4 linked regions of the Oryctolagus cuniculus genome follow. The protein of the gene in region 3 purifies or fractionates together with the protein of the main gene of each other region. This does not show direct contact. Links are inferred from orthologs where the notes say so. Each region holds a gene or a part of one and is shown on either strand. Other genes may lie near its edges.

The links.
Region 1: the proteins of melanoma-associated antigen 10 (region 3) and FOXJ2 purify together in Homo sapiens (affinity purification with mass spectrometry; 3 studies listed by BioGRID and IntAct, counting the BioPlex papers as one, with this or other methods). This does not show direct contact. The link is inferred for Oryctolagus cuniculus from reciprocal best matches to the Homo sapiens genes MAGEA10 and FOXJ2.
Region 2: the proteins of melanoma-associated antigen 10 (region 3) and QSER1 purify together in Homo sapiens (affinity purification with mass spectrometry; 3 studies listed by BioGRID and IntAct, counting the BioPlex papers as one, with this or other methods). This does not show direct contact. The link is inferred for Oryctolagus cuniculus from reciprocal best matches to the Homo sapiens genes MAGEA10 and QSER1.
Region 4: the proteins of melanoma-associated antigen 10 (region 3) and FAM216A purify together in Homo sapiens (affinity purification with mass spectrometry; 3 studies listed by BioGRID and IntAct, counting the BioPlex papers as one, with this or other methods). This does not show direct contact. The link is inferred for Oryctolagus cuniculus from reciprocal best matches to the Homo sapiens genes MAGEA10 and FAM216A.

Annotation. Positions count from the first base shown.
Region 1 is NC_091440.1:101,893,484-101,897,724, reverse strand, and holds the start of FOXJ2 (forkhead box protein J2), read right to left. Parts: upstream 2,835-4,241; 5' UTR 2,636-2,834; coding exon 2,626-2,635; intron 1-2,625.
Region 2 is NC_091432.1:33,054,625-33,058,734, forward strand, and holds the start of QSER1 (glutamine and serine-rich protein 1), read right to left. Parts: upstream 2,861-4,110; 5' UTR 2,729-2,860; coding exon 2,553-2,728; intron 2,303-2,552; exon of another isoform or gene 1,508-2,302; intron 811-1,507; exon of another isoform or gene 710-810; intron 1-709. UniProt on the Homo sapiens protein: Plays an essential role in the protection and maintenance of transcriptional and developmental programs.
Region 3 is NC_091453.1:130,705,130-130,708,150, forward strand, and holds melanoma-associated antigen 10, read right to left. Parts: upstream 1,789-3,021; coding exon 712-1,788; 3' UTR 506-711; downstream 1-505. Other genes in the region: uncharacterized protein, read left to right, coding at 1,031-1,314. UniProt on the Homo sapiens protein: Not known, though may play a role in embryonal development and tumor transformation or aspects of tumor progression.
Region 4 is NC_091452.1:8,133,346-8,137,464, reverse strand, and holds the start of FAM216A (protein FAM216A), read right to left. Parts: upstream 2,830-4,119; 5' UTR 2,759-2,829; coding exon 2,676-2,758; intron 1,877-2,675; coding exon of another isoform or gene 1,876-1,876; coding exon 1,835-1,875; intron 495-1,834; coding exon 373-494; intron 1-372. Other genes in the region: GPN3 (GPN-loop GTPase 3), read left to right, coding at 3,329-3,496.

The sequences.
Region 1 (4,241 bases), on a different chromosome or scaffold from region 3:
GGCTTTGGATCGGCCCAGCTCCGGCAGTTGCAGCCATCTGGGGAATGTACCAGTGGATGGAAGACCTCTCTCTCTTTCTGCCTCTCTGCAACTCTGCCTTTCAAATAAATAAATCATTTTTTAAAAAGATCTAATTATTTATTCAAAAGGCAGATGAGAAAAAGAGGGAGAGACAGAGAGCTGTATCTTCCATCCACTGGTTTACTCCCCAAATGTCTGAAATAGCCAGGTCTTGGTCTAGCAGAAGGCAGGAGCCAGGAACTCCATTCTTTGTCTCCCACATGGGTGCTAGGGGTCCAAGCACTTGGGCCATCATCTGCTGCCTTCCCAGATACATTAACATGAAGCTGGATCAGAAGTGGAACAGCCAGGACTTGAACTGGCACCCTGATAATGGGATGCAAATGTCCCAAGCCATTGCTTACCCTGATGCACCACAACTCCAACCCCAGTATGTATTATTTTAAGGAACCATTTTTTTTCATAAGTCTGAAAGTATTCAAGTGAGGAAATCATGTTTTTATAGTTTGTATCATACAATCATGTAGTTGTTTCTTGAAATATATGTATGTGTGTATAAATTTCTGTATACGTCTTTGCTGGAGTCTACCTTGAGTAAAACTTTTACATACTATTGGCGACTAACGTGCCACAAAAGCACGTGTTGGAAGCATTTATTAAAGATTGATGTATTGAATGAAATAAAAGATGGAGGGAAAGCTCATGATCTATTCAAATCTCAGCTTTAATACTTAATGACTGAGTTCTTCGGAAAGTCACTCAACTGCTTTGTGACTTGGTTTTCTCATCAGTGAAGCAGACATGACAAGAGGACCCAGCTTCCCAGTGCTGTGGAAGAGCTGAGTGACTTACACATCAGCCAAGTGTTGGAGGGAAGGGACCTCCAGAGATGAACAGAGGCTTAAAAGACTCAGTCAATGCAATATATATTGTCCAAGAGACATATCCACGGAATATAACGTGTGGAACATTGGGGAAGATCCTGACTAGAAGCAAACAACTGGAACAAATATATGAGACAATTGATACAATGTCCGTACTCACTGGGTGATATCAAGGAATCGTTGCTTTATTTTAAGTGTGTTCATGGAAATGTGTTTTTTAAAAAATCCTTATTTTTAAAAATGCATGCTGAGGGGCTGGTGCTGTGGCGCAGTGGGTTAACGCCCTGGCCTGAAGTGCCGGCATCCCATATGGCCGTCGGTTCTAGTCTCGACTGTTCCTCTTCCGATCCAGCTCTCTGCTATGGCCTGGGAAAGCAGCAGCAGATAGCCCAAGTGCTTGGGCCCCTGCACCCACGTGGGAGACCCAGAGGAAGCTCCTGGCCCCTGTCTTTGGATCAGCGCAGCTCCGGCCATTGCAGCCATCTGGGGAGTGAACCAGCAGATGGAAGACTTCTCTCTCTGTCTCTACCTCTTTCTGTAACTCTTTCAAATAAATAAATCTTTAAAAAAAAATGCATGCTGAACTACTTAGGCATGAAATACCTGAAATCTACCTCAAAATAATCAAGTGATGGAGGGGAGAGGGAGTGATGATACAAACTTGGCCAAAAGTTGCTTATTACAACTCTAGAAAAATACTGTTCTCTCTACTTTTGTATCTGTTTGATAGACTTTTTTTTTATTCTGTTTAAAAATGCTGTAGAATGGTAAGGACTGTGTTTGCTATTATGTATGTGTTTTGTATGCGTAGGATCTAACGTTTGTTTCACCCGTCAGAGTACAAGGTGTTTGCATTTGCACTGTGTCCATCAGCACGCACACTACACCTTCCAGGTGGCCAGATACCGTCATTTTGCAAATGAGAAGACTGAGCAACGCCAAGACCAGACTGAGGGACCATACAATGTACCTCCTGCATTCCCGGTTCACCGTGACAAACGGCGCCGGGGGCAACCCGCAGCCGCTACACACAAGGTTCTTGCTTTCTCGCATGGCTGTGGTCAGCTCTAGTGGAGGAAGACAAAGCCAGCATAGGACGCGCGCGACTCATTCAGGAATGTCTGTCATCGAACCTTGAGCTCCCTTGTGCACAGCAGGACAATTCTAGCTGCTACTTTAAAAGGTCATCTTGGGAGGAGGAAAGAATAGAACCGAACCAGAGAGATTCCATCCCAAGGAAAAAGTTCCCTGCAGAGTCAGTATCTCCCTTACAAGGCTGTTTATTAAAGTTGTCTACAGTGATCTGTATCTGCTCTGCCCACCCTCTTTAGTGCTCCCTGACAATAAGCCTGGATAAGGCTGGAGGAGCCGTGGGAAGCCAGGTCCGGCGGCTGGGAGGCCTGGCCCCGCAACCGCTCTGTTCCACCTTAAGAAGTTTTCGCCTCTCCCCAAACCGAGCAGGCCCTCGGCTCCTCCCAGCCCCGTGTCAGCTGCGGCCCGGGAACGTGGGGCCGGGAGGAGAGACGCACTGAATCGAAAGACTGGCGCCGCGGCTGCAGGGTTTCTCCTGCCCCCTCCTCGTCCCGCACGGGGTGCGGCGTTTTTGCAACCCGGGCTGCTGGGGCTGGGATTTTTTTCCAGGGACGCCGTTGCGTCTACCCAAACAGGGGCGAGGGTGGAATGTGAGCCCATCTTGGGGCGGAGTCGAAGGGGGACAGACCTGGGCACATAAGATCTACGGCCGCTGCGATCGTTTGCAGAGAGTTGTGACTTCCCCGGTTCGCGACGCACCTCTTCAAAAATCATTTCCAAAAGAGGGGGCAAGTTTTCCATTCCCCGCCCCAGTTCCCCGTCATTATTCTGATTGGCTGGACCTGGCGTAGGCCGGGCCCAAGCCTGCTCGTTGATTGGCTGAGTCATTCTTCTATCACAGGGTGACGCCGGCAAGGGGAGGAAGTGAAGACTATTTTGGTACCTCCTATCGCAACTACTGATTGGTTGAGATTTGCAATGATGTAAAACGAAGCATAAAAATGTCAACTACGGGGACGGGCCTATTGGCCATTCTCTCGGGGCGAAGTGTAGGTTGGGACCGGGAAGAGCTACCCGGACTCCGGCATTTGTAGGGAAGGACCAAAGTGATTGAAACCCGGAAGTGAGTTTAGAAAGGGAAACGAGGGAAATCCGCGGCTCCCTCGCTGCCCTCAAACAAGGTCATTTCCTGCGTGGGATCGCTGGTTTCCTGTTTACTTCTCGCAAGCCGGCGTCTGCGATACCTCGCCTGGAATGCGCGCGATAATGGAATCCGTAGGCACCTTTGGGCCCAGATTTGCCAAACTACATTGCCCGAAAGGATGAACGAGAGGACAAGGAAGAGCGTAGGGTTTAACCCTGCCTGTATGTAGAGAACGATGGGGAAACTGAGGCATAAGTGGGCGAGAGCTAAGACCGACCCTAGGTGACGGCGTCCACGCAGGCGGGCTACCAAAGCCTTCGTAGAGTGAGTGGAGAAGGCGGGTGGGGAGGGCTGCGAAGATTTGTCTGCAGGAAGGGCGTTAGTCACACGGGAATCTTCGCTGGGTGGGGACTGCGTGTCTCCCGCCTGGCTTTGTAGGGTGGACCTGAGCCAAGCTGGAGTGAGGAGACTGAAGTATGCTAGACAAATCCTGCAGCGGCCAGATGTTTAGAATATGTTTTTTAAAGCACTTATGCCAGTCGTGCAACCCTGAAGAAGCGTTACACGCTCACTTAACCACCTGGGTTAACGTAGGTAAGCTCAGAGTGAGTCAGCTTCCTGACCTGGCTGGGAAGCCACGGGCCAGAGGAAAATGCTGCCATTTCTTCTTAAGCACCTAGAGATCTTCAACATTGGAAAGCTCTCTTCCTAGAGAAATTGAAATGATGGGTGGGAATTGTGAAAATATAACTTCTGCATCCAGAGAATGGGAAATAAAGTGTCTAACCTGTAGTCTGACACTAGAGACTGGGAAGAACTTGCTATTGGAAAGTATTGAGAGATACCATCTGTATTATGTGAATTAAAGAATCCTTTGCCTCCCAGCACGCATGTATGAGGGGACTTCAAGTTCCTGGGGGCAGGTGTTAGGCCTAGCAGTTGGGATCCAGGTCAAGACACTCAAGTGCCATATCGGAGTGCCTAGGTTGTTTCCTGCTCTGGCTCCGGCTCCGAATTCCGCCTTCCTGCAGCAGGTGCTGGCTCAAGGACTTGGGTCCCTGCCACCCATGTGGGGGACCCAGATTGAGTTCTTGGCTCCTGGCCAACCCAGCCCAAGCCCAACTCCAGCCATTAGGAGCATTTGGCCAGTGAACCAGCAG
Region 2 (4,110 bases), on a different chromosome or scaffold from region 3:
TAAATAAATAAATCTTTTTTTAAAAAAGTATTGTTTCAGACTCATAAGTAATTGTTTACCATGCATGTTCCCATCAGTTGATGAAAACGCTGCATTTCAAGAACAAGCAAAGACATAGGATGTTGGATCCTGTGTCAGTAACAACTAAATGTCATTACCATCTGTCAGCTTTTGAATAGGTTACAGGAAACAAGGTGACAGACAGGCTAATTCTTTATGGATAAATATCCACATTACATCATCCTACTGTACTCATTTGCACCTTCAGAAGAAACTGCCACAAAGGGGAACAAAAACATTCAACTGGTGCATGAATTATGAAAAAGCTTTTTTAAATGTCATAAAAATATGAATAAGCTTCTGAAATGTAGAATATTTTAAGACTTACAGGGCTATTTAAGATTCAGGATTTTTGATGTAACTGAATTAAAGAGGACTTTTGCACAGTTTGAGAAATAAAATGAGGTACAATTAAGAAGTGTGTACAGCCCTGTACAGATGGCCTGATCCTGACACAAGATGTTAACAAAGCAGGTTAATGGGGGAGGGGAAAGCCTGCATTTTCAAGGCTATAATTCAGCTGACCCCACCCCCGAAACCCTTTTTTAAAGCAGGAGGGCTAACATTTAAGAATTAGTAATTAAAAAAAAAAAAAAAAACCAGAAAATAAGTCTCTTTTAGATTCCATGGTCCAAGTGAATCTACTTACTGTTTTCAAATATGTTTGGGGAGTCACTCTGTTACTTTGATAAATAACATTTGGAAAATATGACAATTGGATTTTTAGATTCTTGCCTCAGAAGTATTCTGCTAAAAGAAATAACAGAAAAAAAAACTAGATAGTATTTCATTTTCATTTACCTAATACATTTTCCATTTGAAACAAAATATTCTGCACAAACAGCTATCACTGCTGTTCACTAAACAGCAAGCAATCTTAACTTGTGAAAATCATCATATTCAATGCAAAAGCTACTTGGAAAACGATGGTTAAATTATCACAAAAAAAAGAATAGGAAAAGTGTCAAATGTTTTTCATGAAACTTCTTGTAACAGCTTACTTATATATAATACAAAATGACTGCTATTTGTGAAAGGTTTCAGCGCTGAATTATTTAGCTCCAAACTGGTATACCACATTTATTTTTTCTCCCCGCTCTTTTAAACAAAGGACCTAAAATTTTCTAACAAGGTTTTTCCCCCCTCTTTCTTAAAGAAAATTTTTCTCATTCTTTCACAATCATCCCAAGGTACAATCTAAGACAAAGAACAGCTATTCGTCACACATATTTTCCAAATCATGACCGTGGAACTTGCATACAAACAAAGACGACAACCTAGAACACTGTAATATATTAAGTAAAAAAAAAAAAGTTCACTTCTGTCGTGCAAATAATGAAGAAACCTGATGAGATCACAAAGCCACGAAGCTTCCTGTTGGTAGCTGGGGATGAAGTCATTAGCAACCCAGGATTCCCTGGTCCTTGTAATCAGAAGCTGCACCTACCAGATTCAGTATTGTTCCGGAGAGGTGGCTTTAAAACACCCGGCTCCCGAATCCTCCAAGCCAGACCACGCCTTCCAGTTATCATTCAAATTGGACTGCTACACCGTGTGCCACTACTACACATTTCCCGCGAGCTTAAGTATCAAGCAGGAGCCAACATTTTAGATTCCCTTGGTCCTGCTGGAGGACAGATGAACTCTTGAACCCCACGCTACGTAACGAAGCCGAGATGGAGAAGCATGCTTCGGTTCTGGAACCTTTATGGCCGTCAGTGACTCCCCCTACCCAATTTCTCCCCAACTCTCAGTCACCCCCAAGGTCCAGAAAGCGCCGAGAGATCCCTTACTTCCTGCTGTTGTTAAAACGGGAGGAAACCCAAGAGCAACTTCGAACGCGTGGAAGAGAAATCGCTCGATCTTGGCCACCAGTGCAAACATATGTCACCCAGCCCCGGCGCAGCACTCGCGCCCCGCCGGGCCCCCTCCTCGGCCCCGAGCCCCGGAGGTTCTGGCTAGCCCAGTCCTCCTGGGTCCCCCAGGGTGAGGGGACACAGCTCTGCGCCTCTTCCTCTCCCGCTTCCCCCACCCTGGCCGCCGAGGCCCCCGAGACCACACTGTGGGCCACCGAGGTTCCCATACAATGGAATGTCACTGCCCCGAAGTCCCCGGCGCCTCCCTCCGCCCGCAGGAGCCAGCCCTGGGGCTCTCCCGGATCCCGAGTTCAGCCACGAGCCCAAACTTCACCATGTGAGAGCCCAGGACCGGGAGGTGACGGAGCCCCAAGACTCCCGCCCAGCCCTTCTTCCAGCCACGGTCCACCCCACCCCCCCGCCAGCCCCAGGCGCGAATCCTGCACCAGGCGTCCCCCACTCCCCGGGGACCACCCCATAGGAGTCATCAGCCCCCTCCCCTGAGCGGGAGCAAGGGCGAACGGAGGGCTCCCCGCCGGGCCCGGACCCCTGGGCGGCGCTGCACCCGCGCGAAGGCCCCAAACACATCCCCGGCCTTTCCTGGCCCACCGCGACCCCGCCGCCCACCCTCCCTACCTGGCCTTGAGGCTGGGGCTGCTGCCGCTGCTGCTGCAGCTGCTGCTGGCGGCGGCGGCCGCGGATCGGGGTTCGTAGGCCCAGGTCGGGGTGGGGGGCTGTGCGGCGGCGCTGGCGGGGGGCGCGGGAGGCGGCGGCGGGTCCGCGAAGCCCGAGGTCGCGTAGTTCCTGTCCATCGTGGGGGTTGCGTAGGGAGGGCGGGCAGCTGTGGGGGCTCCTCTAGGGCCCTGTGAGAGGGGGGCGGGAAGGGAGGGAGGGGCGGGGGGAGGAAGAGGAGGAGGAGGAGGCGGCGGTCGAGGGAGCTGCCCCCTCACATGGCCCCGGCGGGCAGACGGGAGGAGGGCGCGCTGGCGAGTCTGTGCCGCAAGAACCCGGGCCGCAGCGGGCGGCGAGGCCCCAGAGGGCCGTCAGGGAAGCGGCGGCACCCGCGGCCGGGACTCGCGGCGGCGGCGACGGCGGCGGCGGCGGCCGCTTCGCCCCATGTTGGTGGATTTCCCAGGATGCACCTCCCGCCCCCCTCCGCCCCGCGGCCTCGCCCCGCCTCCCCTCGGCGCCCCGCGCTCTCAGCTCGCGGGCCAGGCGGGCGGCCAGCGAGGCCTCCGCCGCTACCGGCCGCCTCACGAGGGGCAGCCGCGGCGGAGGAGCGCCCGCTAGCCGGAGCCAGTGGAGTCGGCGGGCGGCAGACTTCCCGCCCTCCGCACCTCGGAGCAGCGCTGTCCGCGCTCGCCGCGCCCCGCGTGGGAAGGGGCCGCGCCTGCCGGTGGCCCGGCGCGGGGGAGGGGACAGCGAGCGGCAACCTAGCGTGGGGTGTAAGGTGCGGCAAAGCGGGAGGCTGTCAGCGCTTCGGCCTGGACTTCGTTGTTGACCCTTCGGGTTATTTTGAGGGACTCAAATATTCGGTTCCCAGGTCGCTGTTTCTCTCCCTGCGCTCCGAAGCAAAAACAGCTGAACGAGCTGTTTTACAGTTGGTTTACCTCCTTCCTGCCCAAAGCTTGCAGGGCTACGGGACTCTTTTCCTGCTGTTAAGGGAGATTTATATTCAAAAGAGATTCAAATTCAAATGTATTATTTTCCAATCCTTGCTGAAAGGGCCTTTCCCAGGGGTTCTTATTAACTGTCCCCACCCCCACTTCGGGGATTTGCTCGCTGTGCGTTTCAGAATCTCCTGTCCCGAGACAAATACTGCCTCTTCACTGATTAGTCCACCTACCTTCTGGATGACTTTCAGAAAATTTAAACGCCCCACGCACTCTACGTTGGGTTTTTTGTTGTGTATTTGAGGCTTGGTGCGTTAGCAGGGCTGCACCCGGACGTTTCTTAGCTGACCTGCGAGTGTTTGGTTTGGGTAATGAGTGACTATTGAGGATCTTCTGTTGCATATCAACGCTGTCTGTGTTCCTTCTCAGGAGTAGTGAAGGTCGTGGAAATCGTTCGGCCCTTAAGACAGAAATTAAAAGTCAAAATGACAGTAAAGCATAATGACCACCTACCTACCTCCCTTTGGAAAAATCACTATGGCTTCAACCCAGAAATCTACCCCTCAAGATAAGCCCAGCAT
Region 3 (3,021 bases):
CCAGCTGCTCAGCTGTCTTTCCCTGATTCTGTGGGTCTCAGAGGACATCTCTCCATCTTCCTCCTATCGTGGCTGCTGCTGGACTCTACCCTTCTCTGCTAGGGTGGGTGTGGCTTGAACCAGAATCTCCACTCAGCACATGGCCTTCCACAAAGCAGATACTCAACACAAGTTTGGGGAAGAAATAAGCCAGAAAACAAGAGTTGTGTTTATTACAGTTTAATTTGCACCTGAATAATCTAACAAGATATAGAAACTTATCTTTTAATCTTTCAGAGTAACACACTGAAAGGGATAAGGGAATCAATATGATAACACTTAGCTTTTTTCTCTATGTATTGCTAAATGCTTTTACTTTTCCAAGGATACGAATATTCTACTGCCATGGAATTTTGTTCCAAATTACAAACAAGATGGAGGGCTTCCCAACTGGTTTTACAAAATAGCAAAAACTCATTTGCTTATTCTGAAAAAAAAATAAATATGTGAGAAATATAATTAATTAACAAATATTTAGAAGCTAATCAACCTTTTAGTAAAAGTAACAACATTTTTAAATGTTCGATATAAAGAAGATAAATCCCTAAATCCTCTAAAGAAAGCAGTAAGATAAAGATATTATACAATTCATTACCTCTAGGTCCAGCCTGACCCTCCACTACTGAGACTTTTGACTTCACTCTGAGAACAGAGTGAAGAATCTGCCTAATTTTACTCAGGGTAGGAGATGCTGATGCTGGCAATAGAACTGGCACTGGCCATGGCAGTAGTATCTACTGTGGCAATTCTGGCCTGGGCTCTCTCTGCCTCATCTCTCAAAGCCTCCTCATACCATACTGGGAAGGATCTTGGATCACTTCCATTGATCTTGGCCAAAAACTCCAGAAGACTCATCTTGCTGATCTCAGCATGGGCCCTTGGACCCCACAGGAACTCATAGCGAGCAGGATCACTGTTGGGTACCTGACGCCACTCCAAGTACCCTTCTTGCACCCAATCTTCTGTGAGTAACTTTTCGGGCTTCCCATAGATATAGTGCCTCTCCCCAAGAGACAACCCCATCCCAATCAGCACATCCCAGATCTCTTCCTCAGGGGCATAGTTACCACTCATGAAAATGACACTCAGGATAAGTATCAGGAGGCCAGTCTTGGGCATGCCCTGGACATCACTAAGCAACCCATCATAGGTGAGGCCCAGGGAGATAACGAGGGCATAGGAGTGGTTAGTGGGGTCCACTTCCTTTACATCAATGCCAAAGACCAGCTGCATGCATTCAGAGGCTTCACTGAGGATCACAGGAAAGTGATCCTGGTAATTCTGAATGACACACATCAGCATTTCTTCCTTGGTGGTGGGAGCATTTGTCTGATACTTGAAGAGCAAGAACTCCACCAAATTAGACACCTTTTCCTCTATCTTACTTCTGAGAAAAGACTCAGGCTCTCTCAGGGCCTGTGAGGTGCTAGGACCCTCCTTATCTTGGCTGCTGGTACCCTCACTGGATTGGCCCCATGGAGTGGAGGTCATGCCAGTAGAGGAGGAACAGGATACCTGAGGACTCTGGAGAGAACTCTGTGTGCTATCATCATCAAAAACCTCCTCTGAGGTGCTTGACATTAGAGAATAGAAAGAGGAGGATGTCGAAGAGGAGGAAGAGGAGGGAAAAGAGGAAGAACAGGTAGAGGAGGATGAAGAAGCATCCTCATCCGTAATGTTCTGTGTCTCAATTTGGGCCTGAAGGTCTTCTTCAAGCACATACCGCCGACGCTTTGGAGCTCGAGGCATGATGACTCTCGTTGGAGGCAGCAGGCAAAAGAATGGGCAGCAGCTGGGTTATGGGGACCCCACAGGCCTAAAAGAGAAAGGGACCATGTGAGTGACATCAATTGAAAACTGCACCCTTGGCTGTTTTGGCAAAAGCCCACTTACATTTTTTCTCTTTGGGTTGTGGTGCACTAGTGCCTCACACAGATCCTGTCCTACTGGTGAGACAGTACCATGAGAAGTGCAAAGAAACGGGTCAGCAGAGAGTGAGAATCCAGGGCTGTCAGTGAGGGTGGGTTGGAGTCAAGCACTGTGGGGTCCCTTGTGTTCTGCTGGTGGTTTGCAATCCACATTCAAGGGATGTACCTCACCTTGAGTCTTGGCACTGCTTCAGCCTTGTCTTCTCTGTGACCTAAGTGCACTGTCTCACATAAGTCTTTGACCAGCAGGTTTCTGGAGCTCCTATAAGAAGAATAGAGGGGAGTCTAGAGTTCAGACTGCAAGTATCACCCTGGGCCCACCAGTCAGGAAAGTGTGTTAGGTTCTGAGAGGTCCTCACTGTTAAAAAGTGGAAGATCCCCTTTGCACCCACTTAGAGTTCTCAATTTCCTCTGGCAGTTTAGACTCTACCACTCTGCTGTCCTGAAGCAACACAAAGCAGAAGTTCACCTCCCTAAGAGGCAACAAGAAGCAGTGAAGGGTCTCACATCTGGCAACACCTGGCAAAGCCTCATAGCAACAGTTTGTGACCCTGCTGTTCTATGTCTGATCCAGTTCCTTGCTATTGGCCTGGGAAAAGCTGCAGAAGACAGCTCAAGTATTTGGGCACCTATCACCCACGTGGGAGACCAGGATGAAGCTGTTGGTTCCTGGCTTTGGCCTGGCCCAGCCCCAGCCATCGTGGCCATCTTGGGAATTAACCAGTGGATGGATTATCTTTCTGCCATTCTTTCAAATAAATAAATATTTTTAAAAAACAAAAATAAAAAAGAAGAGGATGGCAAGTGTGGGGTCCAACTATATTGAGATGAGAGGGTCCCCCAAGTCCTAACTTTTATATTTGGTTGGGCCTGAAATAATTCTCTCTGTGATCTGAGGCTATAATTTTCATGAGATGTTAAAGAGGAAGTGTCCCATATCTTCTCATGGCTTACTAAAGGGCAGGATGGGGCTGGGATTCTTTCTGTTCTGTTGAAGGATATTTCCTCAGTCCTAAGTCTGAAAAACGGCATTATCTGGGACTCTTGCCTCTGC
Region 4 (4,119 bases), on a different chromosome or scaffold from region 3:
CACCTAAAATTGTTAATGAGGGCTACATGTCAGCATTTATAAAATCCGTATTGCCACTTTCTTCACTTACTCTAATGTTGTAGTTCTTGAATAAAATCTTTATGAGGTTGAGTTTCCTAGTATGAAGTTTTTCTTGAGTGAATATCTTTGTGGTTGGGGCATTAAGTGTCCTGAGTGAAGGACGAAGCCCTGAAAGAACTCTTAGGGAATCTGTGATCCGAACATTCAGTCATGAATGTGTCCTCCAGACACTGACTGCTGGACAGCCTCCTGGCCTGTCATCTGCAGTGCCTCACCATCTAGGTGGCTTATCTTCAAGAAAAGCTCTGAATACAAAGAATGCTGTATTTGAATAGTTCCCTGTTGGCATACCTTTAGAATGGATGTGTCTGTCATCAATTTAGGGATGTGAATTGTTTGAATTTGAGGCGTTTTCCATAACCCTTGTATCTTGGCTATGTGAGAGTTCACTTTGTGTCCACCTTTGGTTTTATCTGTGGGCCAAGGACATAATCATACGAATTTCAGAGACAAAGATCAGCTCACAAATTTATTAAGATCTAAGTACTGGAGCCAGCGTGTGGTGTAGCAGGTAAAACTGCCGCCTGAAGTACCAGCATTCCATATGGGCCCCAGTTTGAGTCCCAGCTGCTCCACTTCTGATCCAGCTCTCTGCTGTGACCTGTGATAACAGTGAAGGATGGCCCAAGTCCTTGGGCCCCTGCACCCAGGTGGGAGACCCAGAGAAGCTCTGGCTTCAAATCAGCGCAGCTCCAAAATACAAATTGCATATTTAGACTCGGGCCCCTCCCTAACATCATTACCTATATGCAAATATTCCAAAATCTGAAATTCTTCTGATCTTAAGCTTTTCAATTAAGAGATATTCAACCTGTATTTATTTATATATTTTCAGATATGGGAGTGTGCCTTTTTTCCCCTATGAAATTATAAGGACTATATATTTTTCTAAAGTAAAGCTAAGTGAACCCAAGTTTGCATATCATTAAATGTAAATGAACACATAAAAACTAACTTACTGTATTGAATACAGATAGGTATGTAATGAGTGAATTCTACCTCCCCTCCCCACAACAAGGTCACTAGCAAGAGGCCTTCAGGGACTTGTTTGTGTCCCTTCACTCCAGCAGAGAAGAGGGGAGTGTTTTTGAGAACTCAGTCATTCAAGTGAGAGGAAAATGTCAGCGCTGAGAAGTATTTATGGTGTTGGGAACTGCTCAGTGAAGTTTTCACCTTCAGTCTGAGCTGATTCAGCCATGAACACAGCACTTGTAGAATTCATTGCTAACTTTAAAATGCCTGCTTGAGCTCATTACCTGAAGAGGAAGAACCCACTAGATTGTTCTTTGAAACTCAGAGACTAAGAGCTACTGGGGATGCCAACAGTTTATTTTTAAAACTCCATTGTGTGGCTCACTAGGCTAATCCTCCACCTGTGGCGCTGGCACCCTGGGTACTAGTCCTGGTCGGGGCGCTGGATTCTGTCCCGGTTGCCCCTCTTCCAGGCCAGCTCTCTGCTGTGGCCAGGGAGTGCAGTGGAGGATGGCCCAGGTGCTTGGGCCCTGCACCCACATGGGAGACCAGGAGGAAGCACCTGGCTCCTGGCTTCGGATTGGCACAGCACCAGCCATAGCAGCCATTAGGGGAGTGAACCAACGGAAGGAAGACTTTTCTCTCTGTTTCTCTCTCTCACTTACTGCCTGTCAAACAAACAAACAAACAAAAAACTCCATTTTGTAGGTACTTATAGGCAAATTGGCTTCTTTGAAACATGCTATTTCTAGGTATTATCTGTTTTCTATGCACTACTCACCGGTACCTTTGGAATTTTGGTGGTAAGAATGTCCAACTGATCTGTTAAAAAAGAGAAATACATGATAATTGACAAACTTCTTAAGCACTAAGAACATACTTCAAACGGTAACTATTGCATATGCGTTTTATTTTTCATGTATGTCTTGCAGATCACCTGCAATTCTGCTTAAATCCTGATGGCTGCGAGTTTTCTCGCAGTGTGTTATCTGAGCTTTTCACCATACTAGAAAGGATGTATTCCAGTCTGTCTGTATGTATTTATTTATTCTAGGCCAGATTTGGTCTTACCTTTATAGCTTCCCAATCTAATGCCTACAGCGAGCTCAATAAAACTGGTTCGGGCTCCTGCGTTATTAATCCATGGTATTTTCTTACTCTATTTTAAATAAAATAACTGGGGTTTTGAAGGCAGCCCTTTGAACAGTGATTAAGGGATGCGGGAACGGATACCTTGGCCTGTAATGTTGTAATTTGGTACAGTTTTTTTCCTTTTTTTCAAATTAAGACCGAATGCCCTCCATCCCGCCTGCTACCGCGTGTTCCCAGATCTGATCCCTGCCAAGGGCCGTGGCCCCCGCCGTTAACAGCCCCTCAGCCAACCTCAGACACAGGGCCCCGCGCGGCCCGGGGGCGCCGCCCGCCCTCCGCCTCTGGGCGACCCCCGGGGGCCGACGCCAAAGCGTCCCCGGCGGGGCCCGAAAACTCCACGCAGTCCTCGCACTCGGCTCCGAGCGTCCCCCCCCCCCCGGCCACGGCCGCCGCCCGCCCCCGCCCTCCCGGGCGCTCACGACCCCGGGCTGGGCGCCGTCCCCCCAGCCCCTCCGGGCCCCCGGCCTCACCCGCCGCCGCCGCCGCCGCCCTCGGTCCCGGCCACCGCGGGCGGCTCGGCCGAAGAGTCGGCCCCCGGCCCCCGGCCCGGCATCTCCCCGGCGCCCGGACGGCGAGCTGCGTGCGGGAGAAGCGGGCCCTGCCCCTGCCCCCTCTGCACGCGTGCGTCAGGCGGGAGGTGTCGGGGCGACACCTCGGGAAGCTGGGAGGGCTAGGAGACCCACGACCCCGGATCTGCGGGAGTGCGTTACTTGGTGGCGAGTCTGTGCTTTCGCATCTTTTTGTGCAAGGGACGCGTCACGGGAACGAAACGCACACGCTCCCCTGAACACGAGGTGCCTTCCACCTCAGGGTTCCAGACCCTCAGCACATTTGCAAAGCTTGGGTGGCACCGTCCGAGCCCAACGCCAATGCGCAAACCAAGAATCAGGGATGCTGAGCGTTTGCCGTTATCCTTTGTCTCCCTGGCAACCAGGCTCCGGCGGCTACCCAACCGCGGGTTTCCGCCAGCCGCTTCTGCGCACGCGCAAGACCTCCTCCTTCACTCTCTCCCTCCCTCCCTCCCACCTCTCTCCTCCCCGCCCCTTCCGTGTCTCCCGGACGCGTTTCTCACGGGACTTGGCCCGCGGAACGTTCCGTAGCCGGAGGTGTGACTTACCCGGAAATGTATAAGGAGCTTCGGTTGCGATTGGTTCGCACCTCGCGCTCCCGGAAGTGGGTGGGCGTGGCGCCAAGGCTGAAGCGGGAAGTGTGCCGTACGGCCCTGGAGAAGCCGAGGGTCGGCATGCCTCGTTACGCGCAGCTGGTCATGGGCCCCGCCGGCAGCGGGAAGGTGAGATTTGGTGGGAAAGGAGAGAAAGATCGTAACCCGTGTGAGGCGAGGGTTCGGTCCTGAGAGAAGGGCGTGTACCGAGGGCCTTGAGACTCCGCGCCGTTCGCTTCTGCTCTCGGTCTTCGGGGTCCTGTCGTCTTGCAAGGGGGTCGTGGCGGTTGTTGGTGGACGCTTAGGCCCCGGGTTGGAGTAGCCCAACCCTAGGAGATGGGTCTTCTTATTCCCGTTTAGGGAAGGTCGCGCGCGTACGAGTCGGGACCTGAACTGGAATCCGGGTTTGTTTTGTTTTTCTGACTCCAGAATCCTGTCCTTTCTCCCTCCCAGGAGACTAAAGTGGGGTCTTTGTGGGTGTTTCCCAAAGCCTGGGACGTGGACTTCTGGTATTTGAAGGGATTTTAGATGGCAGTGGGACCCCGCGTTACGGAACATCGGCTCGTATGCTCAGAACATTCCCCCTTCCCCTTCTGGATTCCACTGCGGTGAAGCTACGCTGGCTTCTAACGTAGCTCCATTTTTTAAAAAAAGGACTTATTTTATTTATTTGAAAGTCAGAGTCAGAGTTAGAGAGAAGGAGAGGCAGAGAGAGAGAGGTCTTCCATCCGCTGGTTCACTCCCCAATTGGC